Caenorhabditis elegans: one gene and its partners. The protein of the gene in region 1 interacts with the protein of each later gene in a pairwise test. Each region holds a gene or a part of one and is shown on either strand. Other genes may lie near its edges. The genes, in order: cest-5.1, R03G5.6 and R11D1.3.

What was found.
Region 2: the proteins of cest-5.1 (region 1) and R03G5.6 interact in a two-hybrid assay, tested with the Caenorhabditis elegans proteins (one large-scale study listed by BioGRID).
Region 3: the proteins of cest-5.1 (region 1) and R11D1.3 interact in a two-hybrid assay, tested with the Caenorhabditis elegans proteins (one large-scale study listed by BioGRID).

What each region holds. Positions count from the first base shown.
Region 1 is NC_003282.8:6,627,738-6,633,493, reverse strand, and holds cest-5.1 (Carboxylesterase type B domain-containing protein), read left to right. Parts: upstream 1-1,739; 5' UTR 1,740-1,754; coding exon 1,755-1,965; intron 1,966-2,022; coding exon 2,023-2,129; intron 2,130-2,178; coding exon 2,179-2,287; intron 2,288-2,570; coding exon 2,571-2,666; intron 2,667-2,719; coding exon 2,720-2,864; intron 2,865-2,908; coding exon 2,909-3,106; intron 3,107-3,492; exon of another isoform or gene 3,493-3,514; intron 3,515-3,640; exon of another isoform or gene 3,641-3,700; intron 3,701-3,822; coding exon 3,823-4,073; exon of another isoform or gene 4,074-4,077; intron 4,078-4,125; coding exon 4,126-4,211; intron 4,212-4,256; coding exon 4,257-4,523; intron 4,524-4,843; coding exon 4,844-5,116; 3' UTR 5,117-5,209; downstream 5,210-5,756. Other genes in the region: C01B10.9 (Bis(5'-adenosyl)-triphosphatase), read right to left, coding at 1-255, 313-596, 655-843, 894-1,063, 1,113-1,238; cest-5.2 (Carboxylesterase type B domain-containing protein), read left to right, coding at 5,575-5,756.
Region 2 is NC_003284.9:7,805,005-7,810,848, reverse strand, and holds R03G5.6 (2TM domain-containing protein), read left to right. Parts: upstream 1-1,734; 5' UTR 1,735-1,763; coding exon 1,764-1,814; intron 1,815-2,028; coding exon 2,029-2,105; intron 2,106-3,450; coding exon 3,451-3,535; intron 3,536-3,601; coding exon 3,602-3,693; intron 3,694-4,016; coding exon 4,017-4,175; intron 4,176-4,644; coding exon 4,645-4,744; 3' UTR 4,745-5,220; downstream 5,221-5,844.
Region 3 is NC_003283.11:12,710,704-12,714,061, forward strand, and holds R11D1.3 (DUF19 domain-containing protein), read right to left. Parts: upstream 1,397-3,358; 5' UTR 1,393-1,396; coding exon 1,258-1,392; intron 1,149-1,257; coding exon 1,016-1,148; intron 972-1,015; coding exon 634-971; 3' UTR 590-633; downstream 1-589. Other genes in the region: R11D1.4 (DUF19 domain-containing protein), read right to left, coding at 2,332-2,657, 2,702-2,834.

The DNA of each region.
Region 1 (5,756 bases):
AAAACGAAATCGAAGAACCGATTTGCGGCTCGAAAACGATTTTTCCAATTCGCGAACTGTTTCGATAATGCCATCTTTCTGGAACTTCCTCTCTCCAATGAATATTCACATCATATCCATGCTCTTTCACTGCTGATGTTAAATTTGCATAAATTTGTTTTCCAATTTCATCCGAGTGTGGATAAATCATATGATCACCCATTTCGAATCCAGCGCCAGATACATAATCTTTCACGCACATGACATGTTTGTGATCTGAATTTAGTTTTAGGAATTATGAAGATTTTAATTTCAACTATTTTAAATTATTACCTTTAATTTCTGCATGTCCATGATCAGCTGTTAGGATAATATTCACATCAGCTCCCAAATTATTATCATCGAATTTTTTGATAAAATAAAGAAATAGATCGTCAAGTTTCTTTAATGTTTTCTCAATTTCCTTGTTATGAAATCCGTTTCCATGAAGTGTGTGATCGGGTTCTGCTACATACCAAGCGAGGAAATTAACAGGTTCCTTCTCTCGAATAAAAGCATCGATAACGTCGTCAGCGTCCTTCATCCATGATTTCAGATCACCAACAATTGTCCATGGCCTGAAAAACTGAATTGTCCAAGTACTACTTCTCGTTAAATAAACTTTTCTAAAATTACCTTGCAATTTTAGGCTTATGGGGAATATATGGAAACTGTGATTCTCCATTTGGCCAGTAAAACGCCGCAGATCTTCTGGAAGACTCCCATCGCTCGTTCGTAAGCCAGATGGGATCAGAATTGTACCAGAAACTCTCTTGTGATGCATTCACGACACCTTCTTTTCCGGTAGAATTGAAATAGTCAAATCTGAAAAAAAGAACGTCCTTTTTACATTTTCAAGCAAAAAAAAAACTAACGCTTTTTTGGTATCTGCATCGAAAAAGTAATTTCCGACAATTCCATGTTCTTCCTCGAACAATCCTGTGGCAATGCTCATATGGTTCGGCGCAGTATACGTTACGTACTGCGACTTCACTCCTGAAGTAAACCATGTAGACATTGACGCCCATTTGTGAATATTCGGTGTCTGAAAAATAAAATAAAAGTATTAATTCAGCATTTTCTGCAAATCTCACCAATACTTCATCTAATAAATCGTATCGAAATCCGTCAAATGAGATGAGCAACAATTTCGGATGTCTTGAAAGGCAAGAAACCACCGATATGGCGGAAAATAAAAACAATAGTCGTTTTATAAACATTTTACAAACATCCGGATTTTTGAAGGCCTAAAACCTGAAAACGGTGGCTCTTTGGTAATGGCAATCAGATACTAAAGCAAGATAACACGAACAATTTTTTTTTCACTAAACCATGAAAAACTATTGTAATCATTCGAAAGAAACCGCAGAAAAAGAAAAAAAATATGTGAAGAAAAATAAATACTCCAGTTGTCCGAGTGGAGTACACAACGCGTGGCTGAACTTTCTCCAATTCGCGACCCACGGCCGACCGAAGAAAAAGCGCGCGTGTTCAAATCTGAAAATAACTCGTTTGGCAATTTTTTGAAGATTTATCTTAAGATAAGTACGTTTAAAAATTGACATATATAAATAGAGTTATAATATCGGAATTATTGAGACAACTAAGCTACGAAATTTAAATTCCAGCAATTGTTTGTGTGATATGTCAATAAGATTCACTATCGTAGTCAGACTCTTATCAATTGAACTCAAAAATAATCGATTGTCTTGTTCACTAAAAACAACAGCATTCAAATGAATACTTTGCGCTTGTTACTGTTAATTTTTATAATTAATGCAGCAGATTCTCTGATTATACACACTTCATTTGGTCATTTGGAAGGTGCAGAGATAGGAGATTATCATTTGTTCAAAAAAATTCCATTCGCAAAACCTCCAGTGGGAAATTTAAGATTTCAAAAACCAGAGGCAGCCGGGAAATGGGATGGAATAAGAAGTGCTATTGGTGAGGTCTTATACCGTATTAAAGCCATATAAAGCGATTTTTAAATTAAAAGTTCAGAATATGGCCCAGCATGTATGTCGAATTCTTCTAAAACAAAAAGTCCTCAAAAATGGGTTGATGAAGATTGTCTACATGTTAATATTTTCACTTCAAAAAAGTGTTTGGCAAGTTACCATTTTAATTTGATAAATAAATTCCAATAAATTTCTTCAGAAGTCAAGAAATTGTGCAATAGCAGTGTACATTCACGGCGGAGGACTGACTTATGACAGTGCTGTTATGTTTAATGACACAGTTTTATTGGATACATTTGTGAAACGTGGTAAGGTAATTTTAATTATTATATTACACTATTTTTCCTATAAATCTTGCATCCAAGTTCCTCTACTTTGACAGCTCATTTCTTCTTTGTCTTAGGCATCAAGAAAGGTTTAATCAAAACATTTTCAGCATATAAAATTCGTCTCACATATTTGTTCATTTCTCAAAAGTTGAGCAACTTTTGACAGAGCAGGGGAGTTGTGAAAGACTAATAGGAAATTTCAAAAATATCTGTACACATTTTCCGAAAACATTGACACCTAGAAAATGCGTGTGTTTTTTAGATGTGATTCTTGTAATTCCTGGTTTTCGATTGGGCATCTTCTCGCATTTTACAGTACATAATCAAAATGTTGCTCCAAATAATTTGGCACTTTATGGTTTGCAACTGAAGCTGTAACAACAAAACCCCCGAATATTCATTTTTTTAAAGATATCACACTTGCCTTGGAGTTTGTTAAATCAGAAATTCACAGCTTTGGTGGAAATTCTCAAAAAATAACACTTTTCGGACATTCTTATGGTGGAGGTCTTGCGTCTATGATGACATTCAGCTCAGAGATTAATCGAGATTTGAGGTAAATTAAAATAAATCTTATTAAATATTTATTCAATTTTTCAGTCTATTTCAACAAGCAATTGTCATGTCTGGAGGTTTTTACTTTGAAGAATTGAAGGATCATATTGAAGGAACTAAGAGATTTGTTGAATATGCCAATTGTTCAGTTCCATTGAAATTAGAAAGAAAAATGGAAAGAAGTCAACAGGAAATGTACATGATGAAGTGTTTGCAGAAATTGAGTGGAATGGAATTATTAAGGTATTCTAGGTGTTTAATAAATCGACATCGTCCAAAATTTTTCAAACTTCAGAATTGTATACTTAGTTGAGACCTGGTAATGTAATTAAATAGTTTTAAAATTTTTTGCCAAACCCACATCAAGATGGGAACATAACGTTCTCTGAAAGATAGAAGTAATACAAAAATATTTCCTTGTTTAGGACTTTAAAGTCTTCAAACTAATCTTCAATTTCTATATATCAGCAAACGCTAAAAATGTTATGGGACTTTAATTCTGCCAGAAATTCAAAAAGTTGATCATTCGAAAAAGAAAAATCAAAACAGCTGTAAATAACGAACCTTTATGGAAATAAAATTTACTGTTTCATTATTCTTTTATCAGTTTTGTATTTATTTCGAGTGCATTGCATATGGATTAGGCGTCATGAATAGTATTGAATTTTTTCTCAATGTTGTGAAAAAAATGTGAAAATTTCCACGGAATTTCATGGTTCATTTAGAACTCTCAATTTGACATTTAAAAAACGTTTTTTTTTTTTGAAGAAATTACACTTTTTACTTATGGTTGTTCGATTTTTGTTTGGCAAATTTGATTTTGTGTTTCTCTAGCTGGTAAGGACTGATTGAAATAAATCATCGAAATTGGAACATAACGTTCTCTGAAAGATAGAAATATTACAAAAGGGTTTCCATGTTTAGGACTTTAAAGTCTTGAAACTAATCTTCAATTTCAGAATCCAAAGATTACTTGAAGATAAAGGTTATCCTGATTTTGGTGGTGTTATTCTTCGAGAACCTCTATTTCCTGATGTGAAGAAATTCGAACTATTGAAATCTCCTAAAAACATTCCAATGCTCACAGGTTGCACAAACCTTGAATTTGATCATGAATCTATCAAAGTTCCATTCGGAAAATATTTAGAGTTTGAGAATCCAGACGAATGTGATGAAAAATATCGAAATGATGTTGAAAGTGGTGTTGAAAGTCGGTGCGACTCAATTAATTTTTTTTCATTATTTATGAGAATAAGTTTTAGATCGAGGAAATCATACTGATAAAACACAAGGGATAATTCTTCCCCTAAAACTTCAAATAAATAATCTACTTGAAAATAATGTCACGGTTAGTTTTCTTTCTATCCAGAATTCATTTTCCATTACATTACAGGCATACCTCTACGAATACACTTATCCGAAACATGGTAGACATACCGATGATCTCTCTTATATAATGGGAGTTCATGCATTTGAAAAAGACGAAAATGAGGTGCATTTGGAGCAAGTTTATAAGGATATGGTTATTAATTTTATAAAGCTTGGAGAACCTGGAATGGGTTTCGAAAAGTCTGAACAGAATGAGTCCACTTATTTTGATATTTATTGGAACGAGACGACAGGAGAAAGGCCACGAATGAGAAAATATTTCGAAAAGGAGGTGATTTTGTAGAGATTTTCCACCATGAGGGCGCCTCTCTAAAACACAACCGTTAGTCTTATGTGAAATTTTCAATTTTTGCAACATATTTCTGTGTTTTTAATCATTCCATTTATCCGCCCTTACAGTGTCGTTTTCCGTGGAAATTTTGAATTTAGTGCTAGCTTCTTGCCTACGTTTGACCCAAAAATAATAATAATAAAACTGGCCGCAGCCTAAACCAAGTCTCGGCCAGATTTTGCCAATTTTTGATTTACCCCTGTGGCGCCCCTTGCTTCTAACTCAAACTTTACTGTTTCATCATCAACACTTAATTTCAGGTCACTGACTATTGGCTCAAGGAAATGATTGAATTTGATCAGAAAGTGACTGAAACAAAGAAGAAATTAAAACAAATATCTCTTAAAACTGTGCCATTCATAGAAAAGCCACTGGAGCAAAATGATGAAGCAGGAACATTAATTGGTGTTTCATTAATAGCCATTTCCATATTCCTTATTGGTTGTATTTTTGGAAGATATTGTTGTTTGAGACGACGAAATTTGTATATTCGATTGGATGGAAATAATTATGAAAACGCAGGAAACTTTTAGATAAACTGAAATAAACTGTTTTAATTTGTTTTTTTATGATTGCTTTTTCTAAATAATGTGAATCCTCAAACAAAATAAAACGATATCAACATATAAAAAACTGTTGGGTGATAAAATAAATTGCAACAAACTCGATAAAAAACAGACTAATAATAGTTTTAACATGTGTGTATGTACAAAGGGATTTTATGACTTTTGAGAATAAATGATTCACATTCAAACGAATTCTCCTTTACTTCGTGATTTTTTAATCAATCAACGCAACTTAGATGTCTCGACAATAATATTTTAACCAACAATTTAAAAAAAGTCAGTTTTTATTAAATATATTAGGGCATACATACCTACGTTATCACATTGTACATTGTGATTTGTTTGTTTCCCCATATTTTCTTGCTTATCAGGAGAGGCAGTATTGATTATCGCGAAGCAAAACAATTTGCACAATTGTTATTCAAATGTATTACATATCATCATCATCTCTATTTCTACTACTTTTTTCATTTCAATTCGTTTATCCTCGAATAATAAAAACATCCCTCGGTCGTCTAGAAGGAAAACAGTCAGGAAAATATCAATTATTCAGAAGAATTCCATTTGCGAAACCTCCGATAGGAACTCTGAGATTTCAAAAACCTGA
Region 2 (5,844 bases), on another chromosome or scaffold:
TAAATCAAGACAGTTTACGTCAGAGCTAGCAGAAAAACAACTACGAACCATGTCACTTTTGATAAACGCCAAACAACATTTTCTCCGACAAAAACTAATTTAATTTGCAAACTTAAACTCATAAAGCGGAAATTCATTCTTAAAAAAAACGCACTGAGTGTATAAAATGAAAATACGCCCAAGAAGATTATCTTCGCGGCAGGATTTTTTGCCTTTTTTTGCTGCTGCCCCTCCTCACTGACCACCGCTACCAATCTAATTACGTCGATTGCGCTGTCTATATATTCTCAATCTCATTCTTGCAATTTGCTTCATGATTACTATCCTTATTGCAACAAGTGGTGCATATTTAGTTGAGTAAGTTGAGTTATTTTTCCTCAGCGCTTATTTTGAGAACCAAATTTGAAAGAAAAGTTATGAACATAGAACTAAAAATACTGAACGACAAAATAAAAAAAAAATTTTTGATAAAGAATTTGAGAATTGAATTATTATTCAAATACAGTGTTTAAAACTCAAATCTACGATATATCTTCAAACTTTTTATGGCAATTGTGTGTAAACTATACGAATTTTAGAAGTAAATTTGAATTTCATTCATTTCTTAAATATTATCCTTTTAAATAACGCTATAGCACACTTGATCAAAAAATATAAAAACTCCACGTTTCTATTTTCACAACTGAAATAAATTTATTTTGAAATTCATGCCGATAATACAAAATTGGCCTTTTTGTTACTCAATTCAATAATACGAACCATATTCTTTGAGTGAGACAAGAATCTCTAACAATTTTAATTCAAGATTAATCTCATGACTAATAAATCATCCGAATCAATAGAAGGGCAGTTTCAAAAATCGATAATTGAGGAGAATGCGGATTAACTGAATATAGCACATATTTTCAGTGAGTTTCCTAAAAAAACTTTATATTTATAAGAATAAAACTTAAACAAAAAATTACATTAAAAAAGTCCATGCATCAAAACAAAGTCCGCAAGTAGTCGTCACGGTGTACGCACCACCCGATACACCAAACTATACGACAATAGTCCTCCTCCCGTCGCCATCTGCCCTCTACGCTCACAATTAGTAAACACGAGGGAAAAGGGTGAAAATGTCCCTCTCTCTTACACCCAACACACGCACTCTAATGCATACACACAGAGACACACACACACACTTTCCCAGCCGAACATATTTTGAATTTTCATCGCCAAGTGAATTTCGACATAAACCCAATAGAAAGCAAAAACGTTGAGAAATAGAAAGAAAACAAGAACGAAAAAAAATATATTTGAGTTTATGACCCCTTCACAGCATGTTTTCGTCAGTGAGAAATGTGTTTGTTCCGTAGTTTTTTTTTCTTCTTTTTCCTGCTATTTTTGCTATCTATCTGTGACTTCTCCCACCACAACCAACCACTCATTCTGTTTTTTTTTGCCCTCTTCTCGTTTCCTCTAGAAAAAAAAAAAAAAAGTAAAAAAGAAAAAGTAAACGGAAAATAGAGAGCATGAGGAATAGAAAAGCAAATATCGGTTTTCATTTTATTTTATTTTTTATTTCTCTTTCTTCTTCTTTTTTTCACACACACACACACACACACAAATTCAAGCGACAAAATTGAAACTTTTATGTTTATTATCTTTTTTTTCTCCGAAACATTTTTAATCTTCTCGTCACCTTTTTGCCGATTCTCCTCCTTTTTCTGACACAATATTTTTATTCGTTCAAGATGGTTTCGCTTACAGGGGCATTGGGAATGCCTCCGTTTCGAGAGCGATTGGGGACGGGATGCACAAAGGATAGCAAGGTTTGTTTTAATTTCCTCTGATTTGACTACTATTACAACCACTCCCCCCTCCCCACCGGCGGATTACTTTTCATTGCGGTTTGCTGCCAAGACCACCCGAGCTTTGTGTACTTTTCTTTAGTTGTTTCTTTCATGCTGTTTCAAAATTTTGCTTTGTTTGAAGCATTTTTTGCTCATGTTTCGAAAGTAACTTTGACTGATTCTACATTTTCAGGACTCTGGAATCGAGTTGTTACCTAAAGCAAAAAAGCAACGAAATCGAAATCGACATCGAGCTCGCATGCAAACAAGGTTTGTTTATTTACTTGAAATTTAAAAACCTCCCACTTCAAAATTTGCACCTCTCAAATTCAAATTCAAACACATGTCGCCGCCGAAAGGTATAAGCATTGGTCTACGGAAAATCGATAACGCCCTCACTCCCCCGGGTTGATATTTCGCACCTGTACGAAAGCTTTCAAAGCAAAACATGTTTTTCGGCAACATTGAAAAACGATTGAAGGAGAAAAATAATCTCTCGAAAGTGTTGATCAGACAATTTTTAGTTTTTGTCGATGTTTTCACAGAATCGGAACAAACATGACAAAAGGGGAAAGTAAAGTTAACAAAAGTTGTGTAGTAGCTGAACCCCAAATATTTGTTAAAAGTAAACCGACGGCCATTGAGATTTAATCGAAATACTTTGACAATAATCTAATATGACCAAATATATTTCAAAATTTTTCGGCAAAATCAGGTAAAATGCCAATTTTTAATATGGATTTGTTTTTAGAAATTTCAAACATTGCTGATGGACATATAATGTTCAAATACAATTGATTAAAACATATTTAGAATATAAAGCTTAAAATTTAAAAAAAAGAGATATATTTTAGATTTCATTGAATATTTTCTGAAACTCAATATTGTAAAATTTTTCATCAGAAGTTGTTCGAATAGATTCAAAAAACTTAGGAATATTTTCTTAAAACCAAACCGACATTTGCTGGTATTATGATCATTTTTCTGGATCAAAAAGTAAATTAAAAGTAAAAAACGAATTGCAAAACGTTAATTAAATAATGACCTATTGCCATTGATAAACTTGAATTTAGAACATTATATTTTATGGAACGTCTTTGCAACTAAAATTTTTACAATTTCTTGTAAAAAATTGCTCGAATTGACTTCGAGATAATTTCGAGCTCTTTCACAATTACGACCTGGCATTTACGTGTATGTTGAGTTTTTAGGAACAATTTTTCTAAACCTTAGAATTTATAGGCACAAAGTTAAATAAACATTGTTCTATTGCTATGGATAAAATTAATTCGAACATTTTTTCAGAGCTACTAAATAAATCCCATCATTAAAATTCAAAGCAAAAAAAAACAGAATGTTTAAATGCCCAAAACCTATTTTAATTAAACTCAAAAATGTTGAAAACTGATGGTTTACAAAATTTTGTGAAAAAAAGAGAAATCAATCGTGGGCTTGATGGGTCAAAAAAGCACCGTCTATGTTTTTTCCATCAATCTCTCTAATTCTCGAATCTTTTTTCATCACACAAATCCCAACATACTCCCTCTCAATTGTTACAGAAACATTTTGCAACCGAAATAAGAGAATATCATCTCATCTCATTTTTTTCTTGCAGTGCCCGCAAGAAACCAATCAGTTCGATAAAGGAACATCTTGTTGACAGTCGACGAGAAGACGCCAAACAAAATGCTGAAAATTTGGTAGGTATCATCAAAGTGATACAAATAGATCAATGAAATTCAGAGTTCATTAAATTCTTGATTCAGGTTGTTTCCGGCCTCTGGCTGATCGTACTCTATTTTACAAACCTCACCTTTGGACTGCCACTTCAGATTCTGTGGCCAGCGAGAATAAATCAGTGAGGAGTTTGTATATTAAAAAATATAGGAATATTGTTTTATGAAAAAATTTGCAAAAAAAACTGGAGTTACCATAAGGTTGTAAAAATGATGCAAAAAAATGTTTGTGAGGGAGGAACTTTGGAACATAATATGAGGGCGTAAGTGCTGAGAAATAATTGAATTCGATTGAATTCGTAACAGTGAGCGTATAAGAAAATTGGATTTTGGATATTTGGGCGAATATAAACTTTGGAGTTCATCGAAAAGAAAGTTCAAAACACAACAATGGAAATTTCAAACTAATAGTGTGTTTCATTTCATTTATCCTTAATAATTTCAGCGCTGCCGTGGCTCTCAGCTATATGCTAATTGGAGTATGGGTACTATGTGCCCTGTTTTTCTTCATCTTCCGAAAACGCAGCAGTACTATGAAATGGTACAAAACCAACCCAAAAACGTATTACTTCGCGTGGATTGTTCAACTGATGGGATTCGCGTTGTGAGTTATATGTATTTGTATTGTTTTCTGATATTCAAATCAATGAAAAAAATTGTCAAATTTTTGAAACAACTCACAATTAAAGCAAAAGTTGGGAGAATCAATATTTTTGGAAAATATGAATCCTTTTTTTGTAGTTGATAGTTTTTTAATAATTTTTAAATGGTGACTTTGCGGGTATGATCATCATTTTGAAGTTGAAAAAATATGCACTTATTTTAGAAAATAATACAATTTTTTCTATTCCTTTTCTAAAATTACAAAAGTCTTAGTTTACTAGCAAAATTGAAATTCAACTAGCTTATTTCAGCTAAGCAAATTACGTGTCTATTAAAATTGCACCCAAAATCACATTTAAAAAGCCTTTCTTGTTTTAGCATTTACAGAATGGCGTTGCAGACAACATTAATGAAACGTGTATGCAGCAGTTTTGAAACATCTTTTTTTTTAAATAACCCATTTTTTCCAGATTCTGCATTTCTACATATCCCCAAATCCACCGTTGGAGTTACTTGGTCTCCATCTTCTACTTCAGCTTTTTTGCTACCATCAGCAATACTTTCCTGTAAACCATTTGACATGACAAAACGGTCCAATCTCTTCTCAATTCACTTTGCCCTCACACTCTCACCTCACCAAAATTCATTTTCCTGTGACTTATTACTAATTGTTGCCTTAAATCCGGTTAGCTACCGAGTTCCCAAAAAACCCAAATGCTTTTTTGTTGTTTATGTAAAATTTCAGGTTTCCCACTTGTTTCACTCAGATTCTTCGTAAGACTGTGTGGATAACACATACGTGCCTGACTCACACAATTGACCACGTGTTCTTTTGAACTAGATACTCTTCTTTCAAAAAAGCTTTCTCTTAACGCCCCCTCTCACTCTGAATCATCTTAGAATTTTGATCTCTTTCCCAAAAACCTCCCCGCCCACACAATTCCTCAATTCCGTTGGTAAACCTATTTTGCCTGTCATTTTCTTTTTGTTAATGCTTATTGTTTTATATTTCATAGTATGTATGTAGCAATAAAACATGACTTCTCAGAAAGTTTCAATTTAGAATAGCTCTTGAAGAACTTCCAACAGATGTTATGGTTGTCTTGATAGGGAATTTGACAAAGGTGCTCCGCAGGTAGACTCTGAAATAAACAAAGGTTTAGATTTCAGAGCAACGTATAAACAAAGGAAACATAAACTCACATCATAATGATGATCAACATTGAGTAGTGCCATCTCATCATAATGCCGCCATACTTCAACAAATAAAACATATGAGATAAATATCTATCAAATTAACATACCCAGTAAAAAAACTTTTCCCATTGCCGAACAAGTTCTAGCCAAGGAGATACTTTGAGTAACATTTGATTCAGACCATCCGAGTAACCACAAATAATGAAGTTCCACAATGCCTGAAAGTAAATCTAGATAACACACAATATTGTAGCACACCTGAAGAAATAAACCAAATGACAATCGATTATGATGTACCGCTAGCTCATTATACGTGGAATATGTCTTTCTCAAAATCATTTTCACAGCTATTCCAGAGACTGGGGTCACAATTAATGTTAACCAGTTCATTTGAAACAACACATAGGCAAAGTTATTTTGCTGAAAAAAATGACAACGGCTTGATTTTCTGATGTGAGTTACCAAGGTTTCCA
Region 3 (3,358 bases), on another chromosome or scaffold:
ATTTAGGAATTTATTGAGAAAGATCCGAATTCACATTTGATTACTTATACGAGAGTCTTTTTTCATCGCATCATCCGTAAATTTTCTTTGATATAGCTTCATATAAGATAAATATATAACAATACAATATTGAGCATGATTGAACAACTTAAAAGACGCAACTTAAAACGTTTTAGCCACGAAAAAGCATGTGTTGTTGCCTCAACGGTGATGTGCATCAATCCTTTCTCAGTTTGGAGAGCTCACCGAGCTCAGAAGGACGGTACAAAAACGATGAAGTTAGGCAAAATTAAAAAATCATTTGATTGAAAACAATGAAGAGTCTTGCATTTTCAGCGAAATTTCATTAGAATTACTCAGCCAGTTCCATAAGGCAACTGAATTAGGGGAGCATCTTGAAATACATTTCATAGTTTGTAATAGTCTGAACCAAACTGGCGTCAAAACTTTCAATTGAGTAATGTTTCTAATGTTTCGAACAATCTGAGAAAAAAAACTGATTTTTTTATCTAACTGACTCATTTTAGTTGAATTTTTTGAAACAAAATTTTATATAGAAGAAACATGAATATATTACCTTTAGTGAAATATAATTAAAGATTTCATTCGACTGACCCATATCAGGGAAAATAATCATGATTTAACAATTTTCGAGCAATTCCATTTGCTCGTATTCATCACAGAAGGGAGCAGTTTGAGTGCACAACCCCACCATTTTGCACTAACATGCTGGTTCACAACCTTCTTACATATCCCATCACAGTATGTGAGTGTAATTGCAGCTTTTGCAACTCCATATGTTTTCTGAAGACATGTCTCCTGTTTGGCTGCAGCTGGTTGTGTATTCGTCTTTTTGCAATCGTTAAGGGTTGCCTTTATTTTCTTCACCAGTGCTGCAGTGAGTGTTTCAATTGGACCAATCAATTTTGTGACAACTGTATCAAGTGAATCAGGATTAAGACAATTGTTGGCTGAAAAGGTTACAGTTAGGATTTGAGAATTACTTCCAACATACCATTGCTGTAAAGAGAAAGTGCTTGAACAGCTTTGTTTCCTGAGTTATTTAATACACATTTTTTGCCTTCTGCGAGGACTGCTGTGCTGTTGTTTGGAGTTTTCCAAAACTGTGTCTCACAGCATTTTGCAATCTGAAAATAATTAGTTAGCTTTTGAGGAGACAAATGCGTTTTAAAGGATTACTAAAAATTTGAATAGAATTGGAAACATGTTAGTTAAGATACAAAGTATACAACTCACCACTCCAAGTTCAGTAGATGTGTAGAATGTAACTCCTAACTTTTGAGTAACCATATCCATCATTGTGTCACGATTCGTAGCTCCATGACTATATTGTACGAGTAAAACGAGAATTAAACTAGTCAACTGATTCATGGCGATACTGTATGAGAAATTCATAGATCATCATAGTTTTTATATACAGACTGTCTCCTCTTTTTTTTCGAATCATCCCACTTTTTAATTGTTTTCCATTTGTGTTACTTTGATTTTAAGCTCTAGATTACTTTTTTTCAGTGACAAACCATAGATTTTGTGTTAGTGAGAGACCAGGGACCAAAAAATATAGTCATGGAATTTGAAAAACATATTGGATGTTTAGACATTTAAGATATCAAAGTTCAAAAGAATTATGGCGAGATTAAAAAGTGTTCATCTGAGTGTGATATGTTTGGTATTATGGTAAATGAACTGTGCAGGTTAAACATATTGTTCTAGAACTTTTTATGCTCTAATGAAACAATTATGAACTTAATTGGTATAACGATTTCTTCATGTTTTTTATCAGTTATTGATTTTTGATAGCTATATAGATTAAGCAAAATTCAAGAGTAACACTGTTTAGTGACACATTTCTAGTTATAAAATTCAAAAAGAAGCACTTTTTTCTGAAAATTCTAAAAAAATTTTCAATTACTAGATGTTTCACCAGGTTTTTTTTTAATATAAGAAGCTACTTTTAACATTAAACAGTGTTTCAAAAATTTTTAAAAACGATTTTCTTATAACTTATTTTTCTACAATTCAGGAAAATTTAATCATTTGTTAGTCCTAAATAATTTTAATAATTTATATTACTTTCCAGCTATAGTATATTTTCCACATATTATTTTATTATTTGAACGGCATTTGAAATTTTTCTAAAAATTTTGGAACTATTATTATTAATATTTAATTGAAAAAGTTGGGGACCATAAGTGGAATTTGTCGTAATTTCCTTTGAGTAATAAAAATTATAACAAATTGCAAGAACAATTTCAAACAACACACTTTTATTCAATGATAATTACACGAACAGAAAAAGTACATAAACCACTAGTTTTTAACACTTTGCGAACATTCATATTTACTAAAAGTGAGAATATTTGGAAGGTATTTCTTGCCACAACTCCATTGAATTGGTGTCGCATTTTCGGTGACAATTTTAATGCAAAAGTTATCCACGTATTTGAAAGTTAACTCTGTCAATATGAGACCATATACTTTTTGTGCACAAGTCTCTAGTTTAGCATCTCCTGATGCCTTGCAATTGATTAGAGATGTTCTAAGTTTTTGGAGCAGACCAGCTAAGTTGGCCAATATTGCTGGTTGCAAGTCTTCGAGTACCGAATCGAGAGTTTCTGGGCTGAGACAATTATTTACTGAAAAAATCTAATATTTTACTCAAAATCTATAAGAAACTTACTGTTATTATAAAGTGCAATCGCCTGAAGAGCTTTGTTTCCAGAATTTTCAAAAATACATTTTTTCGCTTCTTGGTTGATTGCAGTGTTGTTGTTAGGGGTCGCATAGACTTGCTTCTCGCAACATATAGCAATCTGAATGTTCAAAACTTTTTTTAAAAGTAGTCTCAGGAACTCGTTGAATTATATTTTTCGAGCTCAAACTTCGGCTTTGTATATTTTTTTGGAACCGTTTTTAGCACAGAGCATTTCGTAAATATTTTGAAAACTAGACCGGTTTCAAGCGAACACAATTTATCTGTTGCACTCAAAATGTTCTCGAAATGCTTGCGCTGCATTTTTCAACACATTTCGGTACAAATATGGAGAGATCGCAACAGCTTACAGTGCCATAAAATGTTATTTTCTAGCTCGCTAAATGTTATAATTCTCATACAAAAATATAAATATCGAAACATGTAAGAATACTCTTTTCCCGGTAAATGTGGATATTGTTTGTTTAACTTCCATATTATTTGACATCGAACAATTAAAATAAAAACGCAGTTCTGACTTTAGTAAAAAATTTAAAATAACTTTTAAAAAACCAAAAATTCGAATTTTGAAAATTTTGGTAAATAAAACCATTTATAACTTTAGTCACAAAAGTTTGCCATAAG